Linked DNA regions of Oryzias latipes. The protein of the gene in region 1 binds, or shares a complex with, the protein of each later gene. Links are inferred from orthologs where the notes say so. Each region holds a gene or a part of one and is shown on either strand. Other genes may lie near its edges.

What was found.
Region 2: the proteins of pdzk1 (region 1) and akap10 are in contact, whole or in part, in a crystal structure (PDB 3TMH), measured with the Homo sapiens proteins. The link is inferred for Oryzias latipes from reciprocal best matches to the Homo sapiens genes PDZK1 and AKAP10. Residues at the interface, in NP_001188254.1 of Homo sapiens: Asn386, Gly387, Tyr388, Gly389, Phe390, His391, Leu392, Asn393, Ala394, Ile395, Arg396, Phe402, Lys404, Tyr436, Glu437, Val440, Ile443, Gln444; in NP_009133.2 of Homo sapiens: Pro655, Leu656, Glu657, Lys658, Ser659, Thr660, Lys661, Leu662.
Region 3: the proteins of pdzk1 (region 1) and solute carrier family 15 member 2 are in contact, whole or in part, in a crystal structure (PDB 6EZI), measured with the Homo sapiens proteins. The link is inferred for Oryzias latipes from reciprocal best matches to the Homo sapiens genes PDZK1 and SLC15A2. Residues at the interface, in NP_001188254.1 of Homo sapiens: Asn386, Gly387, Tyr388, Gly389, Phe390, His391, Leu392, Asn393, Ala394, Ile395, Arg396, Gln407, Tyr436, Glu437, Val440, Ile443, Gln444; in NP_066568.3 of Homo sapiens: Glu723, Thr724, Lys725, Lys726, Thr727, Lys728, Leu729.

Annotation. Positions count from the first base shown.
Region 1 is NC_019879.2:25,365,845-25,369,344, forward strand, and holds part of pdzk1 (Na(+)/H(+) exchange regulatory cofactor NHE-RF3), read right to left. Parts: intron 2,250-3,500; coding exon 1,917-2,249; intron 1,651-1,916; coding exon 1,454-1,650; intron 1,378-1,453; coding exon 1,162-1,377; intron 1,092-1,161; coding exon 774-1,091; intron 1-773. UniProt on the Homo sapiens protein: A scaffold protein that connects plasma membrane proteins and regulatory components, regulating their surface expression in epithelial cells apical domains.
Region 2 is NC_019872.2:20,167,087-20,170,586, forward strand, and holds part of akap10 (A-kinase anchor protein 10, mitochondrial), read right to left. Parts: intron 739-3,500; coding exon 253-738; intron 1-252. UniProt on the Homo sapiens protein: Differentially targeted protein that binds to type I and II regulatory subunits of protein kinase A and anchors them to the mitochondria or the plasma membrane.
Region 3 is NC_019879.2:4,892,525-4,894,874, forward strand, and holds the end of solute carrier family 15 member 2, read right to left. Parts: intron 2,038-2,350; coding exon 1,933-2,037; intron 1,383-1,932; coding exon 1,185-1,382; 3' UTR 501-1,184; downstream 1-500. Other genes in the region: hspbap1 (HSPB1-associated protein 1), read left to right, coding at 1-55. UniProt on the Homo sapiens protein: Proton-coupled amino-acid transporter that transports oligopeptides of 2 to 4 amino acids with a preference for dipeptides. Transports neutral and anionic dipeptides with a proton to peptide stoichiometry of 2:1 or 3:1.

The DNA of each region.
Region 1 (3,500 bases):
ACTGTTAAGTATGATGATGTTTTGTAAAAAAAACTAATTTAGAATAAATAATAAAAGGTAAATTTACATTAATTTGTCAATCCTTTTTTGTTATTTATGAATAGATTCCCTTGTTTGTAATACAATTGGCCCATTTCTATTTTAGGGTTCTTTTTTTCATCAAATATGGATTATTTTCAGTCTTCCAATTTATCTGATACAAAAGAGCAAAGAAAAAATTATACCGCTACATATTTTATACAATTTAATGAAGATATTAAAACTGAGAGGGACCCCTCAGGACTTAAGTTTGACCTATTTGGACCTAAAGGTTTGCGAAAAGAGAAATAATTGATGTTATTTGAAAGCAAATGGATTTGTATTATTCTCTGAAATGCTACAGTGATTCAGTTTTTCATTGTCTTGTTTATTCAGCAAATGTTACCAAAGTCGTACCACTGGATTCATGTTTCCCTGTGGAAACTGTGAGTTTTAGAATCGAAGGCTTCAAATAAATGTGCATCTAAATTTCACCCAAACCTGATGAAAATATACAATTTAGTGAAGACAAATATTTTGTCCTAAATAACATGGCTTCTTCAGCTTTTGCTGCTAAAAAAACATCTAAACCAGGTTCTTGGTTCAACATTTACGTTTCTTAGCGCCAGGGAAAGAAAATCTTGACCCAGTTTATTTGCTTGACGCTACGATCCTTTCAGATTAAAAGTATTTTTTCTCATGGAGTATAAGTAAATCAACATGATCTCTTCTTTTTAGATGTTACATAGACTCACCCTCTGTTTTGCAGGTTCAGCTGGACTCTCTGGTCTTTCTATCTCTTTCTTGCTGGTTTCTGGACTGTGTTCTTGACTCTTGGGTTCTTGACTCTTGGGTTCTTCCCCAAGCAGCATGCGTGTGATGCTTACTCCTTTGGCTTTGAGCTGGTCATAAACACTCTTCCTGGCCACCAGCATCTCCAGTGAGTTGCCACTCCTGCGGATCATTTCCACCACCTCCTGGTGTCCACTTTGCTCCACATTCACTCCATTTACCTCCACGACCATGTCGTCGTCCTCCAGACCTGCTCTGTCAGCCGCTCCTCCCTTCACCACCTAAAACAAGGGAGGTTTTATCACCTGGTTTTTTTTATTAGTCATGGAGGAACCTTCTTGTTAATCTCACCTCCTTGATGAACTGTCCAAACACGCCTTGAATGCCGTTCAGGTGAAAGCCATAGCCGTCAGAACTCTTCTCCATCCTACACAACTTTGGCTTCAGGTCTTCCTCCTCTTTTTCATCGGGTTGGGCCGGTGTCGCTGTGTTCATAACCTCTGTGTAACTGGGGGGTAAGTTGGAATCCTTCATCTCCTCCCAGAAGAGCATAGGAGAAACTTTCCCCTGTGACACACAAAGCATATTACTAAAGCAGTTTCTCTCACAGGACAAACACAGTTGAAGATGGAGAACAACTCACCAGTTTATACATTTGGTCTGTTTCTTGATCCACCACAAGGAGGCAGCACTCACCACCACCTTGCCTGAACATTTCCACCACCTGCTCATGGCTGCAGTTGTCCACCTCCTTGCCGTCCACTGCAACCAGTCGGTCCATTTCTTTCAGTCCTGCTCTTCCTGCTGGACTGTCTCTGTCTATGTCCTTTATGAAGTGTCCTGTATGGAATCAAGGAACAAATATCAAACCACAACTTCCTTCTTTACCCCTTAAACTTTAAGTTAAAATCCAAAAGGTAAACCAAAGTCCATGAAACCAGAATATACAATGCATGTTCTGGATGTCTAGGTATCATTTTAGGACTTTATTTATTAAATTTTTTTTTATTGGGGATGATTATTTCTGCGGTTCTTTGGAAGCACAGGCCGGCTCATATGGCTTAAAGGATTAAGCTATAAAAAACATTATATTATTGTGGCCTTGCCTGCTTGTTTGGGCTCCTCTCTGAGCACGAAGCCAAATCCGTCAGGTCCTTTAGTCAGGTTGACGAGACGCGGTTTGTGAGGGAGAAACTTGACGGTGGCCAACCGCGACCCCATTTTTGCATATTGGCTCCTGCAGACCTTGTCTGCGTCCTCGTCGAGCAGCAGAAACATAAGGGTGTTCCCGGCTTGTTTGATTTTATTCACCACCTGTTCGTGTGTGCAGTCTTCCACATTCTCTCCGTTAACCTCCAGCAGGCGGTCTTTGGCTCTGACGCCTGCCTTGTGTGCCACGCCTCCTGGGCTCACTTCTGTAATGAACAGACCCTCCTCATCTAGAAATCAGTGTAAAAACAACAACAAAAAGCAACATTTTAGCCACCATTTAGACAGAAAAAGACTTGTTGGGATGCTAGTGATACTTCACAGTACATTTCTCTTTCCACCTTCCAGCATGCTCTTTGACCTTTTCAGGTCCTAAAAATGTTTTGCAGCAGTTTGACTTTCATCATTAATACAGTTAGAAAGGCTATATGTGGATTCCCTCTCTACCCCCTAACTCAGGGGTGGACAAACTATGGCCCGGGGGCAAATATTTAATCTGGAATAAATTATTTGGATAATCCCAGGCCTGCCCAATCCTGTTCCTCAAGATCTACCATTCTGTCTGCTTTGCAGCTCGTTGCACTTTCTCCCTGGCCCAGGTGTTCAGCCAATAAGAATAAGGTGACACCTGAGTCAGCTAATCAGCAGAAAGCAGTCAAGAGAGAACTGGAAAACACGCCGAGTGGTAGATCTCATGGACCACCATTGGGTCGCTCTACATGGTGCACAACAACTTCATTGACCTTTGTTCAGGTCCAGAAACCTATTACTTTGCATTCATGTGGTGTTGGAAAATTGGTTGTTTCTCTGACATTCATGTGTGTTATTTTCCGATCGTTCCAACACGACTTAAACGCAGCATTTTTCTCAGTTTGCGTTTTCCCCTGAGGGGCATCGACCCATTGGTGCAATCACCACTAAAATTAGAACAAATAACTCCAAAAGGCTTTGTTTAGAAAAACATATACACTGAATGTCAATCATGACAAAAGCATGTTTTTGTTCAGTTTCCATGTTATTTCTATATATAATTAAGTGGATCACCAAAACACTCCATGCATCTGCTCCTGCTTCGGCCCTTCTGTCAAATTATACTGTAGAACACTTTGTGGCCCAGGGGTGAAAAAGTTTGCCCACTCATGCCCTAACTTCTAAAAAAGATGTCATGCAGAGATTTCTTGTGCCCTGGATTTGAAAAGCGATCCGAAAACCATGTGTACTGAGTAACGACTTCCCGAAGTAAAAACCTAATAAATATGAACATTTTACAATGAATCCACTGTGTTCTGATGATGAAAACTTCTTTTGTTTTGAAATGAAAAATCTTTCAAACGCAATGCATTATGGTCTATATTTGGCAACCTAGTAAGAATCGATCTGCACTAGTTTTTTGCAGAGACTTCTGGGAAATTACTAGAGCACTAAATGATGGAATTGTAGATTTGGACACCCCGAAAAAATGGCGAACACAACTATACAGT
Region 2 (3,500 bases), on another chromosome or scaffold:
CATAAAAGGATGTAGTTAAAATTTAAAGTTAGTTTTGGTAAATTACTTCTCTATTAAAATGTTTTCAGATTGAATTTTAGACATTCTCATGTTTTGGACTTTTTCATTAATCATCATTTATTTTATCTTTATCATTCATCATTAGTTTTTATTTTATACCTATTTATCAACATATCCTACATGCTGATCATAATTCTAAGTACCATTTTTAGCAGTAAAAAACATGAAATGATCTGCAAAGGCGTTACTAACTTTTCATGAGTTTGTCAGACAGATCTCGCAGAGTGCTGCTGGACTGGCCCTTACAGGGCGTCCCCGCCCTGGAGGTCGCCTGCCTGTTGGGGGTGTCTGCTCGCGGCGTGCTAGGTCTCAGCCCAGCCTCTGTGCTGGAGGGTTCCCGCCACTCAGACGTTACTGCGTTACCTTCTCTGGAAATGTTGGGGTCGCTAGGCGTGCTCTGCACCAGCGTTTGGGGGTCAGACCCTTCTGGAGAGACGGGGACGGGCTCGGCTAGCGAGCTGTGTTTGACCGAGTTGAGGCTGTGCGCTCGGACTCGCGACCAGCTGGTAGAGCGGAAACTCTCGGCCTCCAGCCAGAACCGAACCAGATGGTCGGCGCCCCGTTGCTCCATGTAATGCATGAAGTGGGGCAGCGCCACGTTGTCCTGAAGGACCTGGTCCGCCGATTTGGACAACCGGGAGCGCGTCTCCTGGGGCTGATAGTTCACACTAGAGTGACCTGAAGGGGAAAACAATTGTAGTTGGGTCAACTTAACTACAACAGCAAAAATATTTATGCACATATAAATTACAAATACGGTTAACGAAGTAGAGAAAAATAAAAAACTCAATCTGTACCTTAGGGATGGAAAAACGAACACCCAAAAAAATCCATAGTACATTTTTCCTTTGTGAAAAGTACAATTTATTTCCTATAGGTTTTCCTCATTTCAACCCTGAGTCCACACAAGGCTTAAGACCAACTTTAGAGGCAATATTGTTAGTGAAAATACAAAAAGCCATAAACACAATCCTGGATCAACTATAATAATGCATCTATATGTCTGTTCATTGGTGCGTTTACAAAAGCAGCAACTATCAATCCAATCCCCTCCAGATCATGTGACCCTGAAGAAAACATCTGCTGGCTTTGCTGACGTTAGTCATTTCACACTGAACTGAAGGTGAGCTCTGAAGTCTGCATTTAGAAAACAATAGTTTCCATTGATCACAAACTTGCTTTAATTGAACCAAAACATTTTCATGTTCTTCAGGCTAAGAAACGTCATTTGCTGTTCCAGTTAATTTGGTTTATAAATCCAAAAACGTTTGCATTCACGTGTACCTCTGCACATTTTAAAGACAGCTTTCGGGCTTTAAGTACAAAACCCGCGTCAGTTGAACATGCGTTGAAAGTTAAACGAGGTCGAACGTTGACCAATAAGGACCCGGATTTAGATGATAATCACAGAAGTGCAACTGTCTGAACATTGACCATTGTAGAAAAATGTATAATTGCAGTTTTTGTCCGGACAGAATTCTACGACACCGAGTCTTTCACATATCGGAATAAAGCTGTGAAAGGAAAAAGCCTGGAGGAGGCGCTTCAACATTTCACACCAAGCCTCTCCCAACTGTAGGTGGCCGACATGAGTTAGTAAAGAGTTGCTAAAGCAAAAGAAGCAGCCCCCCCCCCCCCCCCCCCCCCCCGCTAGTCCAGTGTGGACACCACGGGCACCACATTCAAGGACCCCTGTTCAGTGCGTCCGTCACGTGCCTGGTGTAAAAGTAACCTGAAAAAATCCTGTCTGTGAGATCCTTTCTGTGAGCACGAACAGCTCTAAAGTTCTGACCTGATAATAATCTAAACTAGCTGGTAGCAGCTGGCCCAAACAGGCCTGAAGGGCGACCCTCCACACTTACCACCCATTGGCGTGGAACTCAAACTGTCCCTGACATTTGCTGTCCTCTCACAGATCTGTAGTTAGTTGTTGTTGTTTTTTTCATCAATTCTGATCTACAAATAAAACCCAACTACTGTCAACTGACAGCTTGTGACAGGTAGAACTATTTTTGTTTATCTCGAGCCACACAGAGAGAAACATCATTTTTTGTTGTTCAAGACGCAACGAAAAACTGCAAACAAACCGAGTTGTTTGAAAGCATCTCTAGAGAAAAAGTATTTTTTTTATAAAAGCCACATCAAGGAAAGCAACTCCACGGCAGTGAGTAGACAGAAGAAACGGGTCAGTTTCAACTAACCAGAATGTTAAGAACATGTTCAAAATTCTAAATTCATATCAGAACTTTATGATCCAGACCATAAATGATGTTAGGGCTGATGTTTATGGAGAAAAAACACACCAACACTACAGCGAGGAATCCCGATCTGCTGTATATTCATCCATTACAGTCAGCTGTTGTCACTCTGAGACCAAAAAGACCACTGCCTGAAAGAGAACCCTAGACTTTCCAGGACCTGGAAGCATTTGGACAAGAAGGAAGGAGAAAGCAGTCGCTGATGCTCCAGACCCAAAGAGGCTCCAGGTCATTTTGTGCAAGTTCAGAACAAGTTTAAGGTCTCAGGGTCAAAGGTTCTTTTCACAGAACTTTGTGTTTTTAGGCTCACAAATCAGACAACAGCAACCCAAGAGACGTTGTCTGTTTGATCTGGCAAGAATGCCCCGTGTCTTTTTATGCATCGCAGTTCAGTTGGAAAATAAAACAACAGTTTTGTCGGATTACTTCTAGTTTAATGAAAATGTACTTTTACTACAGTAAATTTCCAGAGTACGTCCATTTATGAGACATGAGGGAGCTTCTGCTGCAGTAAGGCTGAGTTTCTGGCAGCATGGTGTGCTCACTGCTGCTCTGATATAAGATCCCAATCAACCCCACCCTGACACTGAACGGCTGCCACACAAACACCGACTCCTCCAGAGAGGGCTTCACTAAAAACCTGAGGTCCTACATGAAACCTGGGATGGTTCAGGAGGAAGTTTCTCTTCCTCAGTCTTCTTCTGTTGCTTTATAGAGCTTAAAAATGGAACAAAAGTGACCACAGAGCAGCAGCAAACAGGCGCCGTCGGTTTGTTGTCGGGGCTGCAGCACAGGTTTCTCCACCTCTGTCTGACTCGCACCACCTCTCACCGCGCATTGTCTCCACGGCCTTTTGTCATCCAGCAGCCCAACTATAAAGAGCATCGGAGTTAAACAAAGGAAAAAGGAAGGAGGTTTGTTCAAAGTCTGACTGAGGGGTGACGTGAACTCCCACAGCTCATTAACTCTGCAAGATTTCACACCACCGTACAAGTTACAGATTTACACTTCTGTGGTTACCACAGAAACTAACCTTTTTTTTTTAATTATTTTTAAAGGACCTCACATCGTGTGTCTTTTTTCAAATTTTAAAGATGTTTTTTAACTTCTTCTGATTCACGGTTAATTCTACTAAACACGTTTGGCCCCTTTCAACACTTTCCTTCTTGTCTTCCTTCTTCA
Region 3 (2,350 bases), about 20 Mb from region 1:
GATCGTCGGCCGTGTCACAGAGCTTCTCTTGGAAAGGCACAAAAATCCGCTTTGATGCTCATCTGCCAAAATTTACTTGAAGAAATCCCTTCCAGCCCAGTTTCAATCCAACTAAATATGCCTTAAATGTTTTCTTTTCTAGCCCCAGGTCCACAAATGGACCGCAGATGTTCAGACAACACAAGCAAACCATTAAGGAGCTCCAACATTTCCATCTCTCATTATGCTAATCATGTTTGGAGCACCAAGAACTAGAAAAATGACCACTTGTATCACGTTTGTATGCTAATAAAGCGAGCAATTGCATATATCATGTTAGTGAGGCTTGCATTTGTTCCCTGGACTGTCACAGGGCAGACGGACGATCATATTAATGTGATTCATTCTACTTTGTTTTGCAACCCAGGCACAAAAATCAGGGGAAGTTCTGTCAGTTTGTGCTGAGTTTTTCAAGTTTGAAGGTTCTAGATGGCATTTAAAAAACAAAAAAGAGGACTAAATGACATTCCAGTCACATTTATTTACATACATATACAAGGTTTGTTTATATGTCTCGTTTTGAAATCTTTACAAGCTTTTTCTGATTCAAAGCACACCATTCTTCATCGCATTTCTGCCCAACAGCAAAAACGTCCCCGTCCACCATCAGATGGAGTCTGCTTGAACAAGAATTCTCTGACACAACCAGCTGAATAAATGTTTTTTTGTGTTTGTAAGTAAAATTCAAACTCCTCCTAATGAACGGGGAGGTTTTGTTATTCTGGAATTGCCTAAATCAAACAGTTGCTAATATCAGTTAAGCCCCGAAGAAATTATTTCTCAAAGGAAACTGAATTTTAGATTTTCTTGCAAATCTGTCCTCAAACGTTATGTTACATCAAAGCTTCATGAAAAATATGCGATACATGTTGTAAAATCATCAGTCAGATGCTGTTTGTCAAAGAATAGCCTATGATTACAATTTTACCTAAAAACAAACCAATATACAACATAACACATAGGAATGGCTGTACTGATCAATCTAAAAAAGATCTTTTAAACTTCTCTTGTGCTGTCCTTCAGAATTTATTTACTGAACTACAGGAATTGTCAAGCAGCCGTGTCACATTAGGTTTTTAAAAAAAAATAACACCACGACACGAGTCAAATTAAAACAAAGGTGCTTTAAAAAAGGTAAGAAAATTTTACAATTTGGTGCTCTTCCCAGTTTTGTCTAGCATCATGCTGCTCTTCTTCCCGTCACCCTCATCTTCTTCCTTCGTGTCCTCCAGGTTAATCTTGTCCATGTTTTCTGGCTCAACGTACTTGTAGAAAATGGACATGACTGAGAAAATGATGCAGACGCCCAGCAGGAGGGCGGCAAACAGTACGAACTCTTTCCACTGAGGAGACAGAAAAGGTTCTTGCTTATGGAGCTGCTGCTGCTGCTGCTGCATGCAGGACGGCAAAAGAACTTATAGGGACATCATGGTGTCCGTCAAACCCAATCTTTAGAAAGTAAAAGAGCCTTGATTCAAGACAAAATGTCTCACCGACTGGCAAGAAAAATTGTCTTATCCAGAAAGTTTTTTTTTAAAGCAAAATAGTTGGAGAAACATGTCTTAGAGACTAAAAGCCTTTTTTTAAATAAGAATTCTTGGTGAGACCCTTTTTTCTTAGCCCATTGGCAGATTTTAACCCTTGTGCTATCTTAGATGACCCCACCCTTACATTGATGTGTTCTCCCTACCATGATAAAGGTGGAAAGATTTCATGTAATCCATGGACACCAGTGAAGATCACAAATCATTGAAGAAAAAAGGTCTAGAGCACTGTCTAGTGGGTCTAGATGACCCAACTCCCAATGTTAAAGTGCCTAGGATAGCACAAGGGTTACAGAAAATTTGCCAATGTAAGAATTTTTTGACTCATTTCTAAGCGACCTGTTTGTACCTGTTCCAGCCCCGCCCCCTCTGCCACAATCAGCACGATCACATTCCCAAATGCAACGGTGAGCAGCCAGCCGGCCTGCAGGACTGACTTCATGTTGGATGGAGCCTGAAAGAAAAAACCAAACAAATCCTGCTTCAGGAATGTGACATCAGACCCGATCGTTTGAATGCTGCATAAAAGGAATTTCTGAAGATTTTTGCACATCTTGCAAGGGGTTAAAACTTCCTCAAAGTCCCCCACTGTTTATCTTATTTAGATATATTTGTTTCTCGTTATTGTTTTACTTTAGACTGCAGTACATATATGTTCCTTTCATAATAAAATACACCCCGTCTCAAATAAGATCCTCCTGCTGAGGCAGATTAACTTGAATTGAAAATGAAGGTAAGTCAAACATGGCATTTCTATCATTAGGACT